7 linked regions of the Macaca mulatta genome follow. The protein of the gene in region 1 interacts with the protein of each later gene in a pairwise test. Links are inferred from orthologs where the notes say so. Each region holds a gene or a part of one and is shown in the gene's direction. Other genes may lie near its edges. The genes, in order: TRIM39, UBE2D4, WDFY3, PSMD9, POLI, EIF4A2 and UBXN6.

Region 1 (3,500 bases):
CTTCCTTCTAGGATGTCAAAAGTACCCTGGAAAAGTAAGTGATTGTTGTATCTCTTTCAGTGAGTTAGGTCTTGGCTTAGAGAGGAGGGGTACAGTCAGGAGTTTGGGTTGGGGGTAAGGTTGGGAAAGTCATGTAGTGTCTGAGCAGGGTATGGGAGAATGTTCATTGTGCCCATGATGCCAGGTAGAGAACAAATTATTGGGAAGAATAATCCCTTTTCCCCTTTGAACATCAGGACTTCTTGAGAAGGAGAATGATAAGGCAGAACCAGATTCTACTTGTGCCAGTGGATGGAATTATGTCCGAACAAGATGGAAGGAGGAAGGGGTTGGGAGAACAGGGAGGGCAATCATCCATTTGCATGAAATATAGGAATATTCCTAGAAAGTTCAGAGGCTCACTCTCAAAATGAGGATCTGTCCACGGGATCATAAGGCTCTCCTTGGATTAGTAAAAGAAAGCAACAGGTGAGCTCTTCAGGGAGGAGGAAGAAAGTGGAAAGATGGAGAATTTTCATTTCTCCCTAAAGATGTTAACATCTGAATAGTCACTTGGCTGGAGCTTCTCCCTAACTCTGCCCTTTCTTCCCCTATCTCCCTATCCCTCCTAGATGTGAGAAGGTGAAGACCATGGAGGTGACTTCAGTATCCATAGAGCTGGAAAAGAACTTCAGCAATTTCCCCCGACAGTACTTTGCCCTAAGGAAAATCCTTAAACAGCTAATTGGTGAGTTGTTCCCAAAAGGAAACTAGAAGGAACCACTAGAGAGAAGAAAGCTTTTAGGTCCTGCCTTATATGGGTTTCAGTTATCCCATCTCTCACTTTTCTTACTCCCACCCACACCTACCCCTTTATCTGGCTTTTAGTCTCACCCTGAGTCACAGAACTTGGAGTGAGAGGAAGCCTTAAGTGTTACCTACTCTTAGGTGCATACTTTTTCAAGGCCCAGAAAGGTTAAATAATTTGCCAAAGATTGGGTAGAGTGATTATATAATTTACCACGTAAACTTGCATAACCTTGAATGGCCGGGCGCGGTGGCTCACATCTGTAATCCCAGCACTTTGGGAGGCCAAGACTGGTGGATCACTTGAGGTCAGGAGTTTGAGATCAGCCTGGCCAACATGGTGAAACCCCATCTCTACTAAAAATATAAAAATTAGCCAGATGTGGTAGTGGGCGCCTGTAATCCCAACTCCTCTGGAGGCTAAGGCAGGAGAACTGCTTGAACCTCGGAAGCAGAGGTTGCAGTGAGCTGAGATCGCACCACTGCACTCCAGACTAGAGGATAGAGTGAGACTCCATCTCAAAAAAAAAAAAGGAAAGAAAGAAACTGAAAGGGAGTGTCATTATATTAATGTGAATATGCAGGGATAAATAGTCATAAACCAGGCCAGTGACACATGGTCACCCTATCCCTAGACCATATGCTGTCTTGCTCTGCATCCTTCTTAACACTTTCTGTTTTTTCTGCCTCTCAGACTACACCTTGTACTTCTCTATGTAGTTAGATAAATGATAATGTCAGAGGGAGATGAAGAGAGGACCAGGCGGGAACCTACATTACCAGCCACTGCAGACTCAAGAGATTATTATCTGTTTACTTTAGGGTCAGTGTGAGAAGTGAGCCATTGCTTTCTCCCCTCCCTTAGGTGACACCATGGATTGAGAAAGTTAACCAAACCGTGTTGTTCTGGGGACCTTTAAGGGACCAGGCTCTGTAAAGGCAGGCTGGAAGAGTGAGGCAGGGGCATTTAGCTATTCCCATCCTCATCTAGCTCCCCACTCTGGCTTCTCCCGCCAGCGGATGTGACCCTGGACCCTGAGACAGCTCATCCTAACCTAGTCCTGTCGGAGGATCGTAAGAGCGTCAAGTTCGTGGAGACAAGACTCCGGGATCTCCCTGACACACCAAGGCGTTTCACCTTCTACCCTTGCGTCCTGGCTACTGAGGGTTTCACCTCAGGTCGACACTACTGGGAGGTGGAGGTGGGCGACAAGACCCACTGGGCAGTGGGTGTATGCCGGGACTCCGTGAGCCGAAAGGGCGAGTTGACTCCACTCCCTGAGACTGGCTACTGGCGGGTGCGGCTATGGAATGGGGACAAATATGCGGCCACCACCACACCTTTTACCCCTTTGCACATCAAAGTGAAACCCAAGCGGGTAGGCATATTCCTAGACTATGAGGCCGGCACACTGTCTTTCTACAATGTCACAGACCGCTCTCATATCTACACCTTCACTGATACTTTTACTGAGAAACTTTGGCCCCTCTTCTACCCAGGCATCCGGGCTGGACGGAAGAATGCTGCACCACTTACCATCAGGCCCCCAACAGATTGGGAGTGACAGGTTGGGATGTGGGAATAATTGGGGTGAGGCAGGGTCAAGTGCTACGGGCCTCCTTCCTGTGTCCTGCTGGAACGTCTTCGTGTCCACCTGGTTCCAGTCCTGAATCATCATGGAGAAACACCTCGGTTTCTAGGATGGTTTTGTGTGGAGAAGGAGGTAGGACTGGGCTGGATGAGACAGCACAGCTGTGACTCCCTCCTAACTGTCAGGGTGGGGAGCTGGTTCCCAGAGGATTGTCTACCCTGAAGTCCATCAGGTTTTCTGTTGCACAAGGACGGGTTGGAAAGGAAGGAGAGGCTTTTCCAGAAACAAAATCTGTGAGGGTCTGACTTGCTCAAACCAGAGGAGGAAACAGAAACCCCTGCACATCTTTTTAGGGAGTTCTTTGACCCAGGATAGTCTTGCTTCTTGAGGTAGATCACAGGGGTCTGTGTACCTCTAAATTCAAGAAAGATGAATGACAGATGCTCTCATGGGTCTAGATGTTGAGGAGTTTTTCTGAGGGCAGAGATTGGACATCAACAAGGCTAGAAGGAAGGTCAGGGAAGTGGGCTAAAGGAACAGATTCCTAGAGATTAATAAAGGGGAGGGAGGTTTCTTTGGTCTTCTATTTTAAAGGTAAGATTGCCATTATGGGTAGGATTGACCAGAGGTAGGAATGTGGGGAGAAGGAAAGGTTGAAAGGAAAGCAGAGAACCCAGGTCCCTGCCTCAGCATTCAGCAGAGTTGGCTTATTGCTTGCCTCTTTATACCAATAAGTCAGTCACTTTGCTCCTCTCCAGGGGCAAGGTGGAAGAGATCCTGCAAGACACATCTATCCTCTCACGGTGTTCCCAAGGGAACTTGGAAAGGAGAGTCAGGTATTAGAGGAAAGAGAAGGGTATTTGTATCCAAAGCCCTGGCCTTAAAGAATGTTACTAAGTAGCTACCCCCAAATTGTCAGCCTTGTTACCTGGCCAAGGTGTCCAAGCCAGAAAGGAAGAAAGGTAGTGGAGTCCTTCTCACTCTAAGACAGTGGGAGAGGGTGGTATATAGGGAAGGGCCAGATAGGCAACTTCCTTTGGCCTGTGTGCATCTGGCCTGGAACTGGTGTTAACAAAAGCCAGGTTTTTGCTTGTTTGTTGCCATCCCTCACCCTTTGCCATT
Region 2 (2,238 bases), on another chromosome or scaffold:
TCAAATTATATTTTTCTTGAGACCTTTATAGATCTTATTATTTCCCTCACTGGAGTTTTCTCAATAACAATCAACATTTTTAATTGACTGGGGTTTAACTTGTGTTTATTTTAACACTTATTACGAGATATTTTAGACATACCAAAAGTGATTTTTTTCAGTGCCTCTTGTAACTATAAATCTCTCTAATCTATAGTCTCATAGCATCAAATCTTATTACAATGATGAGAGTAAGTGCACACACCTGCATAGTCCTCAATGGATGCCCGGCCTGCTCCACGTGCTTTGCATACAGACTTCTCTAGTCTTCCCCACAAGCACACAAGGCAGGTACTCTCACTATGGCAAGCAATCAAAAAAGCCAGGGCACAGAGGGGTGGAACAGCTGCTGAGGATGGTGCTGATGCACACTCCGGTAGGCAGATTCCCAAGCCCTTGTTCTGGAGTTTGTGTGCTGAACGTCCTGTAACTAGTACAAACTGACCTTTGTATGTCTCTTCTCTGTCCTCCCTGCATCCATATTGTAGGACAGGTGAAAGAAAGGGAAGAAGTCTTTGCATTATTAAATCTTCCACAGCAGATAGTTATGGAGAATCAACAGTTTTGGGTTTACACAATGAGGGATTCACCCAGCTGGGGGTTTACAGCCATGTCTGATGTGCTCCTGCTCCAGGGAAAGCCTTTATTCCACTTACCCATCAGCCCCAGATGTTTGACAAGCAGCAGCAGTAGCAGCATTCCCCACATCAGTCCTGTTCTCTGCACCACGTTGAAGAGAAGTGACCATTTCAAGTGAGGGTGTCACTCCCTCTGCTTTTTTATTCCAGGTACAACAGACTAGCGAGAGAGTGGACACAAAAATATGCTATGTAAGTGCCTCGGAGGTTTTACGTGAGACGTTGAAGCTGGCAGAGAGGTCTTCCCTTAAAACTTTGGGCTGTTGGCTGAGCCACTCAAAGAGCGTCATCTGTTCTTCAAACAAATGTTGGTCACCCACTCTCTCCAGCTGCAGCATGCTGGTGCCATTTTCAGCATTTATGGCTTTGACAGTGCCACCTCTTTGATGCCAAATCAGCAGCCATTGTTGTTATGATCTGCAGTCTTCCTGATGACACTGGAATCTCTCTCTCTGCCGCCTCAGTTTGTCTGTTGGTCTCTTGGGGGGCCAGGCCCTGCACGTCTCTCCTACCTGGCCTCAAATGGTGCTGCTGCCCATGATGGTACCACACCAGGGCCTCAGCCTGGCCCCTCACCACATACCCTTTGCCTTTTAGAACTCAGTGCCATCCTGGGTGCCCAGGTCAGAGCAGGCTTTCTTCACACCTCATCTGCTGCAGAACCACATCCTGAGGAGTCTCAGCTCATCCTGGAGGGAATTGGGAACAGTGTCACTGGGAAGTGAAGGCCTAGCCCTGCAGCTTCCACCAGTCTCCTCCTGCAGTGCCACATGCTGGCATTTCTCCCTTCACACCAAGAAGCAGCAAGTGGAAAATTTCAGGATACAAAGCACATAACACCCCATAAGAGATGACTGTGTTTTTAGAAGCAAGAGCAAAATTATGAAACCTCTAGAGATTTGGGTCATGTTACTCCATTTGATGAGAATTCTCACTATTCCCCGCTCCTCCCACTAGGAGCCTACACTAAGTCCAGGTGTGAGCCATTCACAGACTAGAACACAAGGAGGGAGAGAGACTCTTAAATGTAAATAAAAATGCAATTCACTCATAACTCTAAATGATAATTGACATTTCAGCCTCTTTCTTTTAGGCAGAACAGAAGATACCCACTTTTAACAGTTATTTGGAGCCTGAAATTACAATAGCCTATTAGGTGATCGGCTTTCTGTCTTGGCTTTCTGATGCAACATATTTTAAGGTTTGCCTTTAAAGCTTCGAGCCTTGAGACTAGGTTACTTAGGAAGAGGACAGAAAAGGATAGAGATTATTCTAATAAAACTTCCAAAGAGGGAAGAAAATTGAGGAGCTTCAGATCTCTAAAGCCAAATTCAACCTGATCTTTCTAGGTTGGTTATAAAGCTGGCCCACTCCCAGGAAGTGATGCTAAACTGTGACCAAATGGCCAGATGGGACTTTTGCAGGCTGATTGAAAGGAAGTCTACAGACCTAACACAAGCAGTCAGCCAAAGGTGACTGTGGGAGGTTGACTTCTTCCAGAAACTTCCAAGTTGTGGCTACAAATTTATTGCCAGATACTTTCCCATTGAGAATACTGAGG
Region 3 (3,500 bases), on another chromosome or scaffold:
AAGCTTATCTTAAATGTTTTATTCTCAGATTAGCTATTCTGGATCTATTAAAGGTTTCTGAATGGTTAACTGCTAATATTTTATGGATATCACACTAGATCCTTAGTTTCCCCAACCAAAGAACATATAAGTACTACTGTGATAGGTAAATTTTTAATTATTTACTCAGTAATCTTTACTGACAGTTATGTTTTAGAAATCTTTATTTTTAGATTTAAATTGTGTATACTTACATTCCATGAATCGTTGGGCAAGTTATTTATCATTGTGTACTGTTGAAATGTTACATATTTGTCATTTGATAGACAAGAAGAACTTGTACTGTGACATAATTTCCTTTTAAGTAAAATGGTTTGAATCTATCCCAGTGGCCAGGAGAAAATGGTTTCTCTTTGATTTTTGTATGAATGTCAAGTTTCCTCTTAGTGCTGCATGTTTATATTCTTCATCTAAAATCTTTGGAAATGTTTACCTAGTTCACCAGTAATCAAGCCTGTTGGCACTTTTTCTTCATCTGATTTCCTAGACTATCCCCCATACATGTTGTGGTAGCTATTTTCCAGTTTGGTGTATCTTTAAATTACCATATGTATTTATTAGCGCACATAGGGCTAACCATTTCAATATATTTTCATCATAATATTACTGTCTTTCCTGTGCCAGATAAACAGACTTCTTTGAACTCTCTGTTCCACTGTATTGCACGCTCTACCCTATACATGTCTGTCATTTACTTGATGCTTTAAGAAGTCCACCTTCTACAACAAACCCGCTTACTTTAACCATAAACGAATGTAATTTTACTTTTATAGGATTAACTGAAATGGTGTGGATTGTGTTTGTTTCCAAGTAATAACTTGATTTTCAGTGACTTGTAGACTTGTTACTGTTACTCCTGCTTTTGCTTGAAAACCGACCTGGACTCTTTCCTGTCAGCGTCAGCAGAATGCCCTGAAGTACGTGACGGAAGAGTGGTGCCAGATCGAGTGCGAGCTGTTGCGGGAGCGGGGGCTGTGGGGCCCTCCCATCGGCTCCCACCTGGACAAGTGGATGCTGGAGATGACAGAAGGGCCCTGCAGGATGAGGAAAAAGATGGTGCGAAACGATATGTTTTATAACCATTACCCTTACGTGCCAGAAACTGAACAAGAGACAAATGTGGCGGTGAGTATGCAGAATTCAATGATCACACTGGCTCTTTCAAGTTTTTATTTTCCTTTGTAAGCATTTTTTCTCTATTAAGTCAGTTACCTCAAATAGCTCATTTAAAAAATTCAACAAACTCCATTGAATTGATAACTTCAGAGTGGAGGTGGAGTGAAAAGATGCAACAGTGCAAGAAGGAGACATCATGATAAAGAGGTTTATATCAGAGACTCCAGACCCAGACTGCCCAAATTTAAGACCTGACTCCACCACTTTGCTATGGGTTACGGGTCATTAAACCTCTCCGGGTTTTCGTTTTGTTATGCCTGAATTTGAGCAAATAATGGTTCCACCTCATAGGACTATTGGGAGGATTAAGTTCATTAAAATTAGTTAAGTGTTTAAAATAGTGTCTGGTCCAGAATAAGCACTATATATTAGAACACATGAATCTTCTAAGTAGCTCTGATCATATAAGGTGAGGCAGCTTGAATTGTTCCAATGCCTCTTGGTTTTCTCTGACGACCACCCTAGCTCCATTTATCTTGTACTGATTGGTTTAACCTCAGTCCTGATGCTAATGTAGATCTTAGCATCAACCTAAGTGTCCATCAGCAGAGTAACATAAATAAAATATGCTATGTTTACATAATGGAATAGTATTCAGCCTTAAAAAAATAAGGAAAGCCTGTCATTTGTAACAGTGTATATGAACCTGGAGAACATTATGTTACATGAAATAAGCAAGGTGCAGAAGGACAAATACTACATGATCCATCTCACTTATATGGGGCATCTAAAACAATCAAACTCAGAAGCAAAGAATAGAATGAAGGTTTCCAGAGGCTGAGAAATGAGGGGAATAGGGAGATGTTGGTCAAAGGTTACAGTTTCAGATAAACGGGAGGAATACATTTTTTTGAGATCTATTACATTCCTAGTGACTATAATTGATAATAATGTATTGTACATTTCAAAATTGCTAAGAGAGTACATTTCAAATGTTCTTGGCGCAAAAATTGTTAAGTATTTGAGGTGCTGAATATGTTAATTAGCTTGATTTAATCATTCAAACCATATACATATAACATCACTTTGTATACCATAAACAATTATAATTTGTCAATTAACAGTAAAATTTCTAAAATAGTAATATATGTAGGTCTTAGCTCCTGCTGATAGTTATTAAAAGTTTAGAAGATAGCTCCCTAAAGTCTGCTTTTCTCAAAGCTATTCAATTCTGTCAAGAATGCCATACTTGATGCAGCTGTGCCTTAAAGCACTATAATTTCTAATTCTGGAGCACTGTAAAAAAGGTAATCTACCCATATTTTTGCAGCCTGTTACTAGCACTTACTTTTATAAGAGCAAAGCAACAATATGATCTTTTAATTGTTAATCTTTTTTCCTTAACAATCTATTAAGAATTTAAGGCATTAGCAGTTTGATAAAGTATTTCTTATTGAGTCAATGCTTAAATTGAATCCATTCAAGAATACTAAAATATAAATATGCTTTCCCAAATATATGACCAACTCACTGTTTAGATTTAACTGAGGCATATACTTTTGAATTATTTTTACAATAACCATAATATTTTTATCTGTGCTCCTTTCCTTCCTTGTAATAATGTCATTTGTTTACAAAAGTGTATTTTAACTTCTATATCAGATAAAAACAAAGTACCCTATTAAGAGTTCACACCTACAACCGTAGTATCATCAGCATTTTACCTAGGCAAAGGAATTCACCAGCCTGTGAAATCGAAACAGACACTGTCATAAATAAGTATGTACCAGATGGAACTTATGTATTTAACAAGTGGGTTACATATTGGAAAATACAAGACAGTTGAGAAATGTTGGAGATACTTTCACCTAAAAGGAAAAAGCAGTCAGGAAGGAGAGACAGTTACAGAATATAGAATTCATGCTGCATAGTTCATGCACAAATCAAGGTCAAGATTAATCTGCTATGGTGTAATTTTCTGAAATAATTTTTATTTTAGTTTTAGTAGTTCACATATTTTGTAAATTTGAAATGCCATTAAATGTCCACTTGTATCTTTTGGAATATGCATCTGGCAGTGTTAAAAACAAATTTTCAAAAAGTTATAATATCTATTATCCCACTGAATTCTACCATCAAATCAAAAAAGAAGAGCTAATATTTACAGAGCACAATGAGCTAGATCAAGCTTCTCCAATCCGAGGCCCAAGGGTCACATATAGCCCAGGATGGCTTTGAATGTGACCCAACACAAATTCATACACTTTCTTAAAACATAATGAGACTTTTGCCAGGCACGGTGGCCCACACCTGTAATCCCAGCATTTTGGGAAGCCGAGGCAGGC
Region 4 (2,172 bases), on another chromosome or scaffold:
CATCTTCCTCTTATTCCAAAGGACTAATCCTCTCTGGATGTAACCACTCGTAACAAGTTTTTCCATGTTCTTCCAGAAAACTTCACATGCTAGAGCAACACAGGTGTCCTTTTAGAAAATATTATTGGCCGGGCGCGGTGGCTCACGCCTGTAATCCCAGCACTTTGGGAGGCCGAGGCGGGCGGATGACCTGAGATCAGGAGTTCTGAGACCATCCTGGCCAAACATAGTGAAACCCCATCTCTACTAAAAATATAAAAATTAGCCAGGTGTGGTGGCGGGCGCCTGTAGTCCCAGCTACTTGGGAGGCTGAGGCACGAGAATTGCTGGAACCTGGGAAGCAGAGGTTGCAGTGAGCCAAGATTGCGCCACTGCACTCCAGCCTGGGTGATAGAGTGAGACTCTGTCTCAAAAAGAAGGAAAGAAAGAAAGAAAATAAAATGCTATCAAATAGGTTCATACTTTGGTGGGGTTTTTGTTTTGTTTTGACTAAAACCCTTCATTCTCTGTACTGTATTTGAACAATACCTATTGATGGACATTTCTGATGTTCTCAGTTTTTGGATTTCTACACAGCCCTGGAATGAACACTTCATTTGTATGTCATCTTGTAATTGTGTACTATGTACCTTGGACATACCTTTTAAAAATTGTTGGTGGGGGGACACGTATTTTTTGAGGAAGATGGTACTAAGGTCAGCACCCTGGCTGCCCTGAGAGCGCAGTGCCATGTTCCCTACCTTCTCGCCAACCACAGGATTATGCTGAAAATGAAAATCTTTACCAATTTGATAGGCAAAAAATGGGATCTCAGCATTTTAGCCTGTAACTGTGAGTACTAACAAGGCTGAACACAAAACGAGCTTATTTTCTTTTCAGAAGCCCCTGAATGTGACGGTGATCCGCAGCGGGGAGAAACACCAGCTTAGACTTGTTCCAACACGTTGGGCAGGAAAAGGACTGCTGGGGTAAAGTGTCTGTTTCTGTTCATTCTCACTGGGGCATCATTTGAGTGTTTGTTAAACGTGAAGCTGGAGGGGAAGGCTGGGGAGACATTGGGGAATAATGGGAATCCCCAGTTCGTTTGGAAACTGCAGATAAATCCTCGTGGTAGGAACGAGACTACAGCTGTAGAAGCAGAGGGAGCCCCAGTGTCTCTCCTGGGACTCTCCGGTTCATTCATGCACTGGGCATTTGATTTAAAAGAATGAAAGAACATTGGTGAAAAGGTCAGAAGGGCTCGGCCTCTGACCTTCCTATAGGGAGCCTCCAAACTTACGCCATTCCTTTTCTTCTTTCTTCCAGGTGCAACATTATTCCTCTGCAAAGATGATTGTCCCTGAGGAACAGTAACAGGAAAGCATCTTCCCTTGCCCTGGACTTGGGTCTAGGGATTTCCTCCTTGTCTTCTCTCCCTGAAGCATAAGGATCTGGAAGAGGCTTGTAGCCTGAACTTCTGGGTGGTGGCAGTGCTGTGGCCCACTAGTGTAATCTCCCTGGATTAAGACATTCTTAAAAACTTATGCTTGGCCTCTTTCGCAAATTAGGCCACGGCCCTGAATAGGAATTCCCTAAATAGGAACTGTGGGCAAGTGGGCGGAAGTTATTCCGGCAGGTACTGGTGTGATGATGATGATTATTTTTAATAAAGAGTTTTACAGTGCTGATATGACCCTGTTGTCACCCCAACTGAATTTCTTATGACCCTCTCAAACCAAAGCTCAGAAGGGGTCAGAAGAGCTTCATAGAAAGTTGAGCAAAACAAGCTAGCAATTGTGAAGTCCGGCTTTGACCAACATATTTCTTTGCACTGAGGCCTTGCTGCTGTGGATACGGAAATTGCTAAGTAGTTCCATGCTTCCTCAGCAGCTGGGCCGCTAGGGCCATAGTAGCTCCCTTTGGAGAACAGGGAAAGCCTGGAGGTTCCCCAGGTGGCCCAGTGTGGTGTCGTGTCAGCTTCCTCTTTAGGAGGAAGCAAGCTCTCCAGAGGGCAGGAAGCTCCTTTCAATTTGGTAATAAGAACCCCTCCATTTTGTTTTTTGGAGAAAAGGTCCTGCTTTGTCACCCAGACTGGAGTGCAGTGTTGTGATAAAGGTTCACGGAAGCCTTGACCCTCTGGGCACTACCTCGGCCACCCAAGTATCTGGGACCACAGGCGTGCACCACCATGCA
Region 5 (3,500 bases), on another chromosome or scaffold:
GCAAATGGCAGACATCCTGACATTTCATCTCTAAATACTTTTAGTGTGAATCTCTTTGAGGTTAGGATGGTTTCATGTAATTCCAACACTGTTTAACACCTAAAGCAAATTTATTTTTATATAATTTTCTTACACTTTTCATAAAAGAGCTCTAAAACTATGTACAGGTCAGAGATTGTTTTCAGCAGCATATATAGTTAGTGCATGGTTAAGATTTAGATCTTTAAAGCATAATGTTAGCTTTCTTGTTATATAATAGTACTTTTATGCTTACTTACAGGTAAATATGAGTAAAAGTTTTGTTAATGTCAGTAGGAATGTTTTTATGAGATCAGTTTCCATAATGTGTTAATTATTAAGCACTCCCAGTATACAGTCACTATCACAGGCTGTTGGAATTTGCTTATTGAATTTGTTTACAGTATTCCTATGAAGCATGAAAGAGATTAGTCAAGTGGATAACAGGGTGGCAGTGGTCTCTTAGTCCATTTAGTGTTGCTTTAACAGAATACCTGAGACTCGGTAATTTACAAAGAAAAAAAGGTTCATTTGGTTCATGATTCTTGTGGCTGGAAAAGTCAAGATTAGGCCTCTGCATCTGGTGAGGGTCTCAGGCTGTTTCGCCTCATGGTGGAAGGCAAAGGGGAGCCAGTGTGTACAGAGATCACATGGTGAGAGAGGAAGCAAGGGCTGGGGGAGGTGCTAGGCTCTTTTAACAACCAGCTGTCTCTGGAGCTAATACAGTGAGAAACTTACTCATCCCTGAGGGAGGGCATTAATCTGTTCATGAGGGATCCACCCCTGTGATCCCAACACCTCCCATTTGACCCCACCTCCAACATTAGGGATCAAATTACAACATGAGGTTTGGAGGGGACAAACATTGCAACCATACCAGGTGGTGGTGGTGGTGGTGGTGGTGGTGGTGGTGGTGGTTGGATATAGACTAAGCCTTCTACCTTTTAAAAATTATTTTGTAAAAAACAAAATTTTAAAGTTTTTTTCTTGTGACTTTGAATGACATTTGTTGTTTTTAAAGCTATAAACCTGCATGACATCTTGCACATCAGACTACTTATTGGATCTCAGATTGCAGCAGAGATGCGGGAAGCCATGTATAATCACTTGGGGCTCACTGGCTGTGCTGGAGTGGCTTCTAATAAACTGTTGGCAAAATTAGTTTCTGGTGTCTTTAAACCAAATCAACAAACAGTCTTATTACCGGAAAGTTGTCAACATCTTATTCTTAGTTTGAATCACATAAAGGAAATACCTGGTAAGACAAATATCTTTGAAAAGTACATATATGTCTTATTATATTTCTTTAATTTTAAAATTATAGGTACAGTGTAATTAATTCTTAGGTAGAGGTGTATGTGAGTGTGTGCATGTATGTGTGTGTATACTTGGTTCCTGGAAAAAACTAACAAAAACCATAATGTTTTCTGAAGCAAATTTGGATTAAGAAATATGTGAAAGTACTTTTCTTATTTTATCTACTTTGGATGGTTAGAATATGGTCATAAAAGTTATAGCCTAGAAACATACGGTCTTTATTTCCAGTCCCTGGGTCATACTCTTATACTGTACATTGCCTCTAGAGAGGGGAGTTTGTCTTTTACTAAGTCTCTTTTGGGATTATATATAAAATATTAAGGCTACAATGGACTTTCCAAAACATCTAGGTTCCTCAGTTTAAAGATGAGGAAACTGATTTCCATGAGGAGTTTGGTGACCTATTTAGGTCATGGTGCAAGTTTGTTTCTTTGCAGATCAAATACCCAAGTTTTTATAGACCGTTGATAATGGATATGTTGAACTACATTTCTGTGGTATTGCTGGGGAATAAGATGTTATAAAAGAGTTCTGTGGAAGTGAATTTCTAATACCTCTGAAACTTAGATGTCAAACTTCACATTTTTAACTGATACTTGTGTGATTCCAAAATGTATTATACACTGCCTTGCCTTCCTTAGTATAGTATAACTATAATTTGAAATTTTGTGGATGACTTTGGTTCTGCCTTCTGAAGAACAATGTCAGGTTGTAATAAATTGAGGACTATATACTGGTGCAAAACATTATTACTTGGCTTTACTTTTGAGTTCTTGTAACTTTTTTTTTTTTTTTTAAACAGGCTTTCTGCTTTCTCACTTATTTCCAAATTGCCAGCCGCCTTTTATTTTTGCGTGAAAAATCTGTCACTCTCATAATTCCCCCTACACAGCCATTTCCTCCAACTTAGGCTTTTCTTGTGCAAGAAAATCAGATAACTGTGGAATTATTATTTTTAAATGAAAAGAATAAGGAGACACTAAATGGCCTGAGTGTTTTCTCTTGTGGATAAAGTATGACTGAATTTTAGTGCAAGAACTTTGTGACAGTTTTGCTAGCAAGATTTTTTGTTTTGTTTGCTTTCTGGCTCATAGCTGTATTCTGGATGGTAAATGTTAGATATGACTTATGGATAAATATATGGTGGTGCATATAGGAACCAGTTAGTTTACCTAATATGTACACTTAATTCATTTTAATTGCTCTAGTGGCAGCCTTTTTGTACATTAATAATCATGATTTCTGAATATTTCTGGAATTTTACATAACAGGTAGTAAAATTTTTATTTTAGTAAGACAGCATTTATTGACTGTCTCTGTATTCATTTTGTTTTGCTGCATTTTGTGAGGACTTCAAAGAGATGCATATAATTCAGGAGCCCTGAGTGGAAGAACAGCAACCTAGTTTGCAATGGAGTTTGATCTTTGCAAAATACAGTAGTCCCCCGTTATCTGCAGTTTCACTTTTCACAATTTCTGTTACCTGCAGTCAACTGTGGTTTGAAAATACTAAGATATTTTGAGAGAGGGAGGCAGAGACCACATTCACATAACTTGTATATAGTATATTGTTGTAGTTCTATTTTATTATTGTTAACCTCTTATTGTGCCTAATTTATAAATTAAACTTTATCATAGGTATATATGTAATGGAAAAAACAGTACTGTATGTATATAGGGTTTGATACTGTCCATGGTTTCAGGTATCCACTGAAGGTCTTAGAATGTATCCCCTGTGGATAAGGGGGGACTACTGTGTAAATTATAGAATTTAAAGATATGATTGATATATTTATAATATTTTAATTAGCTTTGTTTTAAGGAGAAAAGCTATTTTTAACTTTGTATGCACTTCTTTTTATTTAGGTATTGGCTATAAAACTGCCAAATGTCTTGAAGCACTGGGTATCAATAGTGTGCATGATCTCCAAACCTTTTCATCCAAAATTTTAGAAAAAGAATTAGGAATTTCACTTGCTCAGCGTATCCAGAAGCTCAGTTTTGGAGAGGATAACTCCCATGTGATACCCTCAGGACCACCGCAGGTACACGATGATATTTATTTTAATTAAGTACTGGTTATCACATTATTTGAGATAAAGATTTCTAGTTACAGTACCATGTTCTTACTATTCTAGTTTGCTTAGTATGTGATCTCTTTCCTA
Region 6 (3,799 bases), on another chromosome or scaffold:
TTCTGGTGAAAAAGGAAGAATTGACCCTTGAAGGAATCAAACAGTTTTATATTAATGTTGAGAGAGAGGTAACTGATTGTTAGACATTATTTTACCTTCTTGTATAAGCACTGTGCTAAAATTGCAGACACTAGGACTATGTCTTGGTTTTTGCAATAATGCTAGCAGAGTACACACAAGAAGAAAAGTAACAGCACTAGATTGTAAAGACTGGGATGGACCTCTTTCTTAATGTCCAATGTCCTTTGTCTTAAGATTTGGTGCAATATCTCATTAGACCTGATAGAATGAAGTTAATTTTTATAATTTCTACGTTTTGAGACTGGCTAAGAGGGGCCAATTTTGGTATTTTGGGTAGAGACAGGGTTTCACTATCTGGAAACTGGTTGGAACTCCTGGGCTCAAGTGTTGGGATCCCGAAGTGCTGGGATTATGGGCATAAGCACTGTGCCTGGCCCAGAATGTATTTTTAACTGAAGAAAGTTGGAAAAGCTAAATGACTGTTAACTTTCTCTTCTAAACATTATAGGAATGGAAGTTGGATACACTTTGTGACTTGTACGAGACACTGACCATTACGCAAGCTGTTATTTTTCTCAATACAAGGCGCAAGGTGGACTGGCTGACTGAGAAAATGCATGCCAGAGACTTCACAGTTTCTGCTCTGGTAAGAGGTGTTCTAAAATGTCTGGATTTCCACTAAAGCAGGATTCAGACTACAATATAGCTGCTAAGTGCTGTGTTGTCGTTCCCCCTGCTCAAAATAAAGTTGTTTCTTAACTATACCTGTCTGCTATATCCCTGTAGCAGCCAGGGACGCTTGGTCTCATACATGTTGATTAAAATTACTGACCTGACTGGTGATTCTTGAATTAAGGTTTATTAATTTGCAGCATGGTGACATGGACCAGAAGGAGAGAGATGTTATCATGAGGGAATTCCGGTCAGGGTCAAGTCGTGTTCTGATCACTACTGACTTGTTGGTAAGTCTCTTAATGCTTTTTAAAAATCTACCAAAAGTTAGCTTTTTGGGGGGAAGGTTTTTAAGTAACCTTTGCCAGCTTGGGCTATTTGGAAGAGTAAAAGGACCACACTCCACAGTGGGCTATACCACTTAGTATAGTTCGCTACTATTTTGTGGCCTACATGACAGGTACCATGTTTTTTGAATTAGAATTTTTAACATATGCCATTGTGTTTCAGGCTCGCGGGATTGATGTGCAACAAGTGTCTTTGGTTATAAATTATGATCTACCTACCAATCGTGAAAACTATATTCACAGGTGAGAAGCCAGCATCTTGGATGTATTGAAAAAAAATTCATACATTTTTCTACTGTGATTTGTATGAAAGGTAACATCAAATCAAGGAATAGATTCAGTCAAGTCAGTAGTGTTCAGTAAGATGATGTAATTTGTACTAGGGGAAGGCTGACGAGAACAAAGTGGGAAAACTTGTAAACATTGCTCAGATTGTGGGCATAGGTTTTTTTTTCCCCCGCAATTGTTGGTCTTAGCTTATGCTTGAGCTTTTAGTGATGTTCTTGTGTCCATGTGCTTTTTCTTGATTTTTTCCATAGTTGGGATTTTCTTGGTGTCGCCTGGTAGCAATTTGAGTGAACCCTGGTTTAGTTATAGTGGCTTTATCCCTAAATAAATTGAATCGTACTTTGTTATGTGATGTAAAAAAAGACTTTTTAAAAAATACAGGAGTCGATAGCAGCAGTTGATGACGAGATGGCACTCAGAAACGGCGTTGACGTAATTTAGGACGTGGAATCATAAGCGAAACAGCACACTGTTTGAATAAAGAGCGAGTCGGTATTTATATTTGTTTTTCTTTTGTCATGATTATTTATTTTAAGTTGCTCCAGCTGAGGCATCTTTTGTATCAGTATTTCTGTTAGGGAACTTTTCTTACTAGGTGGTTTGTATTGTCTGGTTTCTAACATGAAGGTAGCTGTTTGGCGGTTAAACACGTTTTGAGTAATTTGAGTTACAACGTGTGAAACTGAGCAAAAAAGCAGTGATAAGTTTGGGTTACCATACCAAATATTTGTTTTCCCACTGGAAAAAAGTAAGTTTTAGAAAATAGTTAACCTTTGCAGCATTTGTTTACAGTTTACAGTTCCAGAAGTGCGTCGAAATGGATTACATAACTGCTCTTTTATTCCTGGTGTTTACATCTGTCCCAGGCTGACACCTGCTCTTGGCTGGCCCACTTTGGTATGGGCTTTAATTTCACTACCCCAAACACAATACTGTCATCTGCTTTATAATAATGCTCAAGATGCCTGATAAAAATCTCATTTTGCAGCCAGACAAGCCTTGAATCCTTTTGGCACTAACTGCAAAGGAAGATTTTTTTCTCTAGATATGCATTAGCAGCTAGTGCTCCAGTTAGAAGCACGAACTATAACCTTGATAAGTAAACAGCAGCTGATGGTTAACAAGTGGATCGTCATGTTCAGTAGTTCATAAATTATGTGAGAAGTAACATTCTGATTGTTTTTTTCTTACACAGAATTGGCAGAGGGGGTCGATTTGGGAGGAAAGGTGTGGCTATAAACTTTGTTACTGAAGAAGACAAGAGGATTCTTCGTGACATTGAGACTTTCTACAATACTACAGTGGAGGAGATGCCCATGAATGTGGCTGACCTTATTTAATTCCTGGGATGAGAGTTTTGGATGCAGTGCTCGCTGTTGCTGAATAGGCGATCACAACGTGCATTGTGCTTCTTTCTTTGGGAATATTTGAATCTTGTCTCAATGCTCATAACGGATCAGAAATACAGATTTTGATAGCAAAGCGACATTAGTCGTGAGCTCTTGTGAGGAAAGTCATTGGCTTTATCCTCTTTAGAGTTAGACTGTTGGGGTGGGTATAAAAGATGGGGTCTGTAAAACCTTTCTTTCTTAGAAATTTATTTCCTAGTTCTGTAGAAATGGTTGTATTAGATGTTCTCTATCATTTAATAATATACTTGTGGACTAAAAGATATAAGTGCTGTATAAAATCAGCCAATTATGTTAAACTAGCATATCTGCCTTTATTGTGTTTGTCATTAGCCTGAGTAGAAAGGCCTTTAAAATTTTTTTAGAAAGCATTTGAATGCATTTTGTTTGGTATTGTATTTATTCAATAAAGTATTTAATTAGTGCTAAGTGTGAACTGGACCCTGTTGCTAAGCCCCAGCAAGCAATCATCCTAGGTAGGGTTTAATCCCCAGTAAAATTGCCATATTGCACATGTCTTAATGAAGTTTGAATGTTAAATAAATTGTATATTCACTTTAAAGGTGCTTTTGGTCATTTTTATTACAACCCCCTTATTTACAAAACCCCACATCAAAATATATTCACTTTTTAACAATTCTGAGATAATTGCTGCATCACAGTTGCACAAAGGCTGATAAGTTGCAAATGTTCATCAGCACCATCTGCTAGGCATTTGTCAACTTCCTACAAGAAAAATTTAAGAAATTAGCATCCTTCAGGTAGTTAAATGTTTAATTGACATGTGCAAAGTACCTACTTACGGCAAGTTTTTCTGTAATAATGGACTTCTGTTTATCAGATAAATTATTCTCTACAACCACATCATGGAGTTGACTGACGAACTGAGTTGCTGCATGACCCTCATCTATTAAGTCCTATTAAAAAAAAAACTTTTGGTATGATCATTTAATATTCCTTTCCCCAAAGTTAGTAAGCTGACTTTACCTTGACCACAGCTTCTAGTTTGTCAAAAGAGCCACTCTGACAGGCAGCAAATACTCCATCAATTTTCTCAGCTGG
Region 7 (4,239 bases), on another chromosome or scaffold:
GCCTCAAACTCCTGGGCTAAAGCAATCCTCCTACCTTGGCCTCCCGAAATGTTGGGACTGCAGGCCTGAGTCACTTGTCCAACCCATGTTATTTCAATTTCAGTCTTAGAGTGGGCTGTTTCCTTACCTGGAGGCCTCTCCTCCCTCAGTCTTTGTGTATCTCATTCCAACTCCTTTTTTGTTTTGTTTTGTTTTGTTTTTGTTTTTGTTTTTTTGAGGCACAGTCTCCCTCTGTTGCCCAGGCTGAAGTGCAGTGGTGAGATCTCCGCTCACTGCAACCACCACCTCCCGGGCTCAAGCGATTCTCCTGCCTCAGCCTCCCAAGTAGCTGGGATTACCGGCGCCGGTAGAGACAGGGTTTCACAATGTTGGCCAGGCTGGTCTCAAACTCCTGACCTCAAATGATCCGCCGGCCTCGGCCTCCCAAAGTGCTGGCATTATAGGCATGAGCCACCACGTCTGACCCCCAACTCCCTTTTTTGGAGGCTTGTTTTAACTGTCAGTTTGTGTATCTTCTTTGCGAATCGCACAGCCCAAAGTACGCCACTATTAACTGGTTTCTCTGTCTTGTTCACCAAAGTGGATCCCCAGGTCCCAATTGGATGCATCCTCTTAAACAGCTTCTACCTAGGGTAAGTGGTGGTGGTGGTGGTGGTGGTGTTGGTGGGGTGGGGCGGGGGGCTTCAGGGACCAAAACAGGGCCAGAAGGTGGGGGCCTCCAATACCCCACATTAAATTGGGACTTTATCACGTAAGCTCTGGGGAGACAGGGAAGGTTGGATTTTTGTTTGTTTTGCTTGAGACAGGGTCTCTCTCTGTTGCCCAGGCTGGAATGCGGTGGAATGCGGTGGCTTGATCACAGCTCACTGCAGTCTCGACCTCCTGGGTTCAAGTGGTCCTCCCGCCTCCGCCTGCCAAGTAGCTGAGAGGTGCGCGCCACCACCCTCGGCTATTATTTTATTTTACTTTTTTTTTTTTTTTTAAATAGAGACGAGGTTTTGCCATGTTGCCCAGACTGGTCTCCAACTTCTGGAATCAAGCAATCCTCCCGCTTGAGCCTCCGAAAGTGCTGTGATTGCAGGCGTGAGCCACCGTGCCCAGCTTAGGTTGAGCAGCGAAAGGGACAGGGCCCAGTGCTTTCTCTGCGAGGTTCAGTCGTCCTGTCACCGTCTGTCACCGTTTGGGGAGCGCCACGGAAGCTGCCAGGCAAGGCACTGACTCTAATCGAGAGGCGCACTCGTCGCCCTGGCAACGGAGTCCGGAAGAACCACAGAGATGCGGCTCCAGCGTACAGAGCGGCCGCCCTGGGCCAGCGAGGCACCGAGCGCTAGAGAGGCACTTCTAGCCTATTGTCACGTGGTCGGCCTCGGGAAGGCGGGACTTCCGGCGGCGCGGTATTTTTTTTCCGGTGGCTGGTCCCGGGCGGCCCCTCCCCGACTGGGCCCTGTGCCCCCCGCCCCCGCGGCCCCTCGCCGCCGGGCCAGCCGCCACCATGAAGAAATTCTTTCAGGAGTTCAAGGCCGACATCAAGTTCAAGAGCGCGGGACCCGGTCAGAAGCTCACAGAGTCCGTAGGGTGCGTGAGGAACGCAGGGGCGGCCGGGGAGAGGGGTCTGGGGCCTCGGGCGGCTCGGGAGATCGGAGAGGGCGAGGGGCTGGGGAGCGGCAGCCGAGAGTCAGGGGAGGGGGAGAGGCTCCGGGGGCGGGGCAAGCGGGGCCGAGGATGGGCGTCAGGGGGAGGGGAGAGAGATCTGGGGTCAGGGCAGGAGGGGGCGGGTGTGAGCCGGGGGCGGGGCAAGGGAGGCGGGGGGAGGGGAACATGCGCAGGGGGCGGGGCAAGGGGGCCGGGTGGGCGGGGAAGTCTCGGGGGCGGGGCCGCAGGAGGGTCCGAGGCAGTGGCGGGGGATTAGGGCGGCGGGGCTGCAGGAAGTTGGGGGTCAGTGGAGCGACCCTGGGGGAAAAAAGGGATGATCAGTTCTGAGACGGGTGATAAGGGAGAGGTCTGGGGACCCGGCTGGTCCTTAAGTGGCCGGGATGATTTGGGGGAATCTAGGTGACCATGGATGAGAGCTGAGCTTGGAGGAAGACGCACAACTGTGGGGTGGGGTGGTGGAGAGTTGTTCTGAGGCATCCATGGGAAGAGGGGTTCTGGACTTGGGATCTGGAGCACGTGGGAGGCTGATGGGAGACCAGGAAGAGTCTGGAAGGCCAAGGAGGCCGGGGTGGGTAGCGTCTTCAGTCACCTGGGAGGGGCTGAGGAAGGTGTGTGAGGAGACTGGAGGTGAGGGACTCTGACAGATGGACTGTGACACGGGAGGGGCCTGAGAGGAGAAGACCGGCGAGATTGACGCCTCTGAGCAGGTTGGGAGAAAGGCCTTCTCTACGAGGCTTCTCTGCCAGGTCACTGTGCCAAGTGGATTATGGAGGTGAGAGGGGAGGGGAAAGGAGATAAGTGCCGGGCAGGCTTCGGGATCGTCTAGGGAGGACTTGGAGAGAAGGGCCTGAGCAGGGCTGAGCCAGCTGGGAGGGCAGGTGGAGGGCCGGGAAAGAAGTGGCGCTGGAGAGGGTGCGAGGCTGAGGGCTGCTGGGCTGAGAAAAGGGAAGCTGGAAGAGCTGGGGCTGCTGCAGGGAGCTGGCTGGCCAGGGGGTGGTGGGGACTGTTGGAGAGTGACTGAGGAAGGAGGTCAGCCAGGCAGCCAGGGTAGGGGTCTGTAAGCAATAATGGAAGGGATTGTGAAGGGGTGGGGGCTGGGAGGGGGTAGGAGGAGAGGCAGGGAGGTGGCAGGAAGTGGGGGTCAGGGAATCACGGGTTGGTGGGGTGGTGATGGAGGTAGGGGCATAGCGAGGAATTCAGGGTTCCTAGGGGAGAGCAGGAGAGCAAAGGCTGAGTGAGAGAGGGAGGGGGGTCAGGGAGAGAAGTGGACAAATGGGGGGAGCCCTTCATTGATTCAACCAGTAGTGGGTGGGGTTAGGACTGGGCGTGACAGGAAGGATGCAGGGCATCAGGGTGATGGCTGGGTCAGCCCAGAGCCTGGCGGAGAGGGGAAGGTCAGAGGGGAGACTCGGGAAGGGAAGTGGTGCGGAGGTCCCCTCTGGAGCGAGACTGGATATCCAGGGTGTGTGGGGCGTGTGGGCACCAAGTCCTGTTTTAGGCTGCAGTGGTGGACAGGAGAAGGCCTCTGCTGTCCCAGGGCTCAACTTCTAGAGGGAGCTGATGGACAAATAAACCAACAGACCTCAGAGGAGGGCTCAGGCGGTGCCCAGGGCCTTGAAGGAGGGTGAGCAGACGCCATCAGGTGGTTTGGGAAGGCCTCTCCCAGGACACAGAGAGACTCAGCCGTGGGGAAATCAGCCCCCTCCTTCTCTCCCTGTGGCAGCTCTAGCCCTTTCCAGATCCCCTGTCCTCCTCCCTCCCCGCAGGAGAACACTGTGGGCAGAAGGCGCAGACAGTGCAGGGCCTTGCGGCGGGGAGCAGCTGGGGTATGGGAAGAACCGCGGGGAGCCCAGGGGAGCCAGGCCAGGGGAGGGCAGTGGGCCAGGCCGGGAAGGGCTCTCCGGCCGAGGGAGGCTTTAGGATTTCGTGGTGGGGGGGCGTCGTGCAGTGGAGTGATGCTGACGCTCCCTGGCTGAGGTTGCAGAAGGGTCCCTGTGGCTGCCCAGGGCGGGCAGGGTCCATGACCGGTTGGGGTGAGGTGCCCTGGGAAATGCCATTTTGTTGGAAAGACCTAGATATCGGATGGGGCTGGGATGGGTCTTCATGAGTCATCTCCTCTTCCACCCAAGATGCTGCGCTGTGGGAGGACTAGATAGGCAGGGGTGGGCACGAAGCTAAGCCTCGAGACGAGGAGGGAGGGCTGCCCGAGTATCTAAGCAGAGCCAGAGGAGTACAGGGCTTGAACTGAGAGCCTGGCCTCCAGGAAGTTTTAAGAGACTTACGACATGGAAAGTGACACAGTCCCTGGATTCACGGGAGGGGCCCGAGAGGACACAGGCGAGACAGACGCGTCCGAGCAGGTTGGCAGAAAGGGCTTCTCTGCCAGGCCACTGTGCCAAGTGGATTATGGAACCCTCCTTGGTGTAGGGCTCAACAGGGCGGAACCGCGAGTCCATGAGCTCTTGGTACTTGCACAGCCCCGGGCCTGGCATGGAGTGGCCAGGGCGAGGCTGGTTCTGCTGTCCGCTGACCCCAGGGTCCTGCCACAAGGGTGGTGTGGCATGGGGCACATTGCCCGGACTTCCT

The links.
Region 2: the proteins of TRIM39 (region 1) and UBE2D4 interact in binary tests that used the Homo sapiens proteins (3 or more experiments, as listed by UniProt). The link is inferred for Macaca mulatta from reciprocal best matches to the Homo sapiens genes TRIM39 and UBE2D4.
Region 3: the proteins of TRIM39 (region 1) and WDFY3 interact in binary tests that used the Homo sapiens proteins (3 or more experiments, as listed by UniProt). The two-hybrid records come from large-scale screens. The link is inferred for Macaca mulatta from reciprocal best matches to the Homo sapiens genes TRIM39 and WDFY3.
Region 4: the proteins of TRIM39 (region 1) and PSMD9 interact in binary tests that used the Homo sapiens proteins (3 or more experiments, as listed by UniProt). The two-hybrid records come from large-scale screens. The link is inferred for Macaca mulatta from reciprocal best matches to the Homo sapiens genes TRIM39 and PSMD9.
Region 5: the proteins of TRIM39 (region 1) and POLI interact in binary tests that used the Homo sapiens proteins (3 or more experiments, as listed by UniProt). The two-hybrid records come from large-scale screens. The link is inferred for Macaca mulatta from reciprocal best matches to the Homo sapiens genes TRIM39 and POLI.
Region 6: the proteins of TRIM39 (region 1) and EIF4A2 interact in binary tests that used the Homo sapiens proteins (3 or more experiments, as listed by UniProt). The two-hybrid records come from large-scale screens. The link is inferred for Macaca mulatta from reciprocal best matches to the Homo sapiens genes TRIM39 and EIF4A2.
Region 7: the proteins of TRIM39 (region 1) and UBXN6 interact in binary tests that used the Homo sapiens proteins (3 or more experiments, as listed by UniProt). The link is inferred for Macaca mulatta from reciprocal best matches to the Homo sapiens genes TRIM39 and UBXN6.

Annotation. Positions count from the first base shown.
Region 1 is NC_133409.1:152,687,402-152,690,901, reverse strand, and holds part of TRIM39 (E3 ubiquitin-protein ligase TRIM39), read left to right. Parts: intron 1-11; coding exon 12-34; intron 35-611; coding exon 612-731; intron 732-1,777; coding exon 1,778-2,351; 3' UTR 2,352-3,500.
Region 2 is NC_133408.1:84,408,847-84,411,084, reverse strand, and holds the end of UBE2D4 (ubiquitin-conjugating enzyme E2 D4), read left to right. Parts: intron 1-827; coding exon 828-869; coding exon of another isoform or gene 870-873; exon of another isoform or gene 874-1,034; intron 1,035-1,274; coding exon 1,275-1,350; 3' UTR 1,351-1,738; downstream 1,739-2,238. UniProt on the Homo sapiens protein: Accepts ubiquitin from the E1 complex and catalyzes its covalent attachment to other proteins. In vitro able to promote polyubiquitination using all 7 ubiquitin Lys residues, but may prefer 'Lys-11' and 'Lys-48'-linked polyubiquitination.
Region 3 is NC_133410.1:48,985,240-48,988,739, forward strand, and holds part of WDFY3 (WD repeat and FYVE domain-containing protein 3), read left to right. Parts: intron 1-936; coding exon 937-1,164; intron 1,165-3,500. UniProt on the Homo sapiens protein: Required for selective macroautophagy (aggrephagy). Acts as an adapter protein by linking specific proteins destined for degradation to the core autophagic machinery members, such as the ATG5-ATG12-ATG16L E3-like ligase, SQSTM1 and LC3.
Region 4 is NC_133416.1:129,287,286-129,289,457, forward strand, and holds the end of PSMD9 (26S proteasome non-ATPase regulatory subunit 9), read left to right. Parts: intron 1-362; exon of another isoform or gene 363-879; coding exon 880-968; exon of another isoform or gene 969-1,025; intron 1,026-1,266; exon of another isoform or gene 1,267-1,305; coding exon 1,306-1,333; 3' UTR 1,334-1,672; downstream 1,673-2,172. UniProt on the Homo sapiens protein: Acts as a chaperone during the assembly of the 26S proteasome, specifically of the base subcomplex of the PA700/19S regulatory complex (RC).
Region 5 is NC_133423.1:37,857,186-37,860,685, reverse strand, and holds part of POLI (DNA polymerase iota), read left to right. Parts: intron 1-1,039; coding exon 1,040-1,276; intron 1,277-3,201; coding exon 3,202-3,380; intron 3,381-3,500. UniProt on the Homo sapiens protein: Error-prone DNA polymerase specifically involved in DNA repair. Plays an important role in translesion synthesis, where the normal high-fidelity DNA polymerases cannot proceed and DNA synthesis stalls. Favors Hoogsteen base-pairing in the active site.
Region 6 is NC_133407.1:11,824,738-11,828,536, reverse strand, and holds the end of EIF4A2 (eukaryotic initiation factor 4A-II), read left to right. Parts: coding exon 1-68; intron 69-93; exon of another isoform or gene 94-271; intron 272-529; coding exon 530-667; intron 668-702; exon of another isoform or gene 703-834; intron 835-893; coding exon 894-983; intron 984-1,010; exon of another isoform or gene 1,011-1,149; intron 1,150-1,203; coding exon 1,204-1,283; intron 1,284-1,709; exon of another isoform or gene 1,710-1,820; intron 1,821-2,523; coding exon 2,524-2,668; 3' UTR 2,669-3,299; downstream 3,300-3,799. Other genes in the region: RFC4 (replication factor C subunit 4), read right to left, coding at 3,368-3,463, 3,541-3,654, 3,725-3,799. UniProt on the Homo sapiens protein: ATP-dependent RNA helicase which is a subunit of the eIF4F complex involved in cap recognition and is required for mRNA binding to ribosome.
Region 7 is NC_133424.1:5,289,015-5,293,253, reverse strand, and holds the start of UBXN6 (UBX domain-containing protein 6), read left to right. Parts: upstream 1-1,439; 5' UTR 1,440-1,492; coding exon 1,493-1,575; intron 1,576-1,837; exon of another isoform or gene 1,838-2,425; intron 2,426-4,239. UniProt on the Homo sapiens protein: May negatively regulate the ATPase activity of VCP, an ATP-driven segregase that associates with different cofactors to control a wide variety of cellular processes.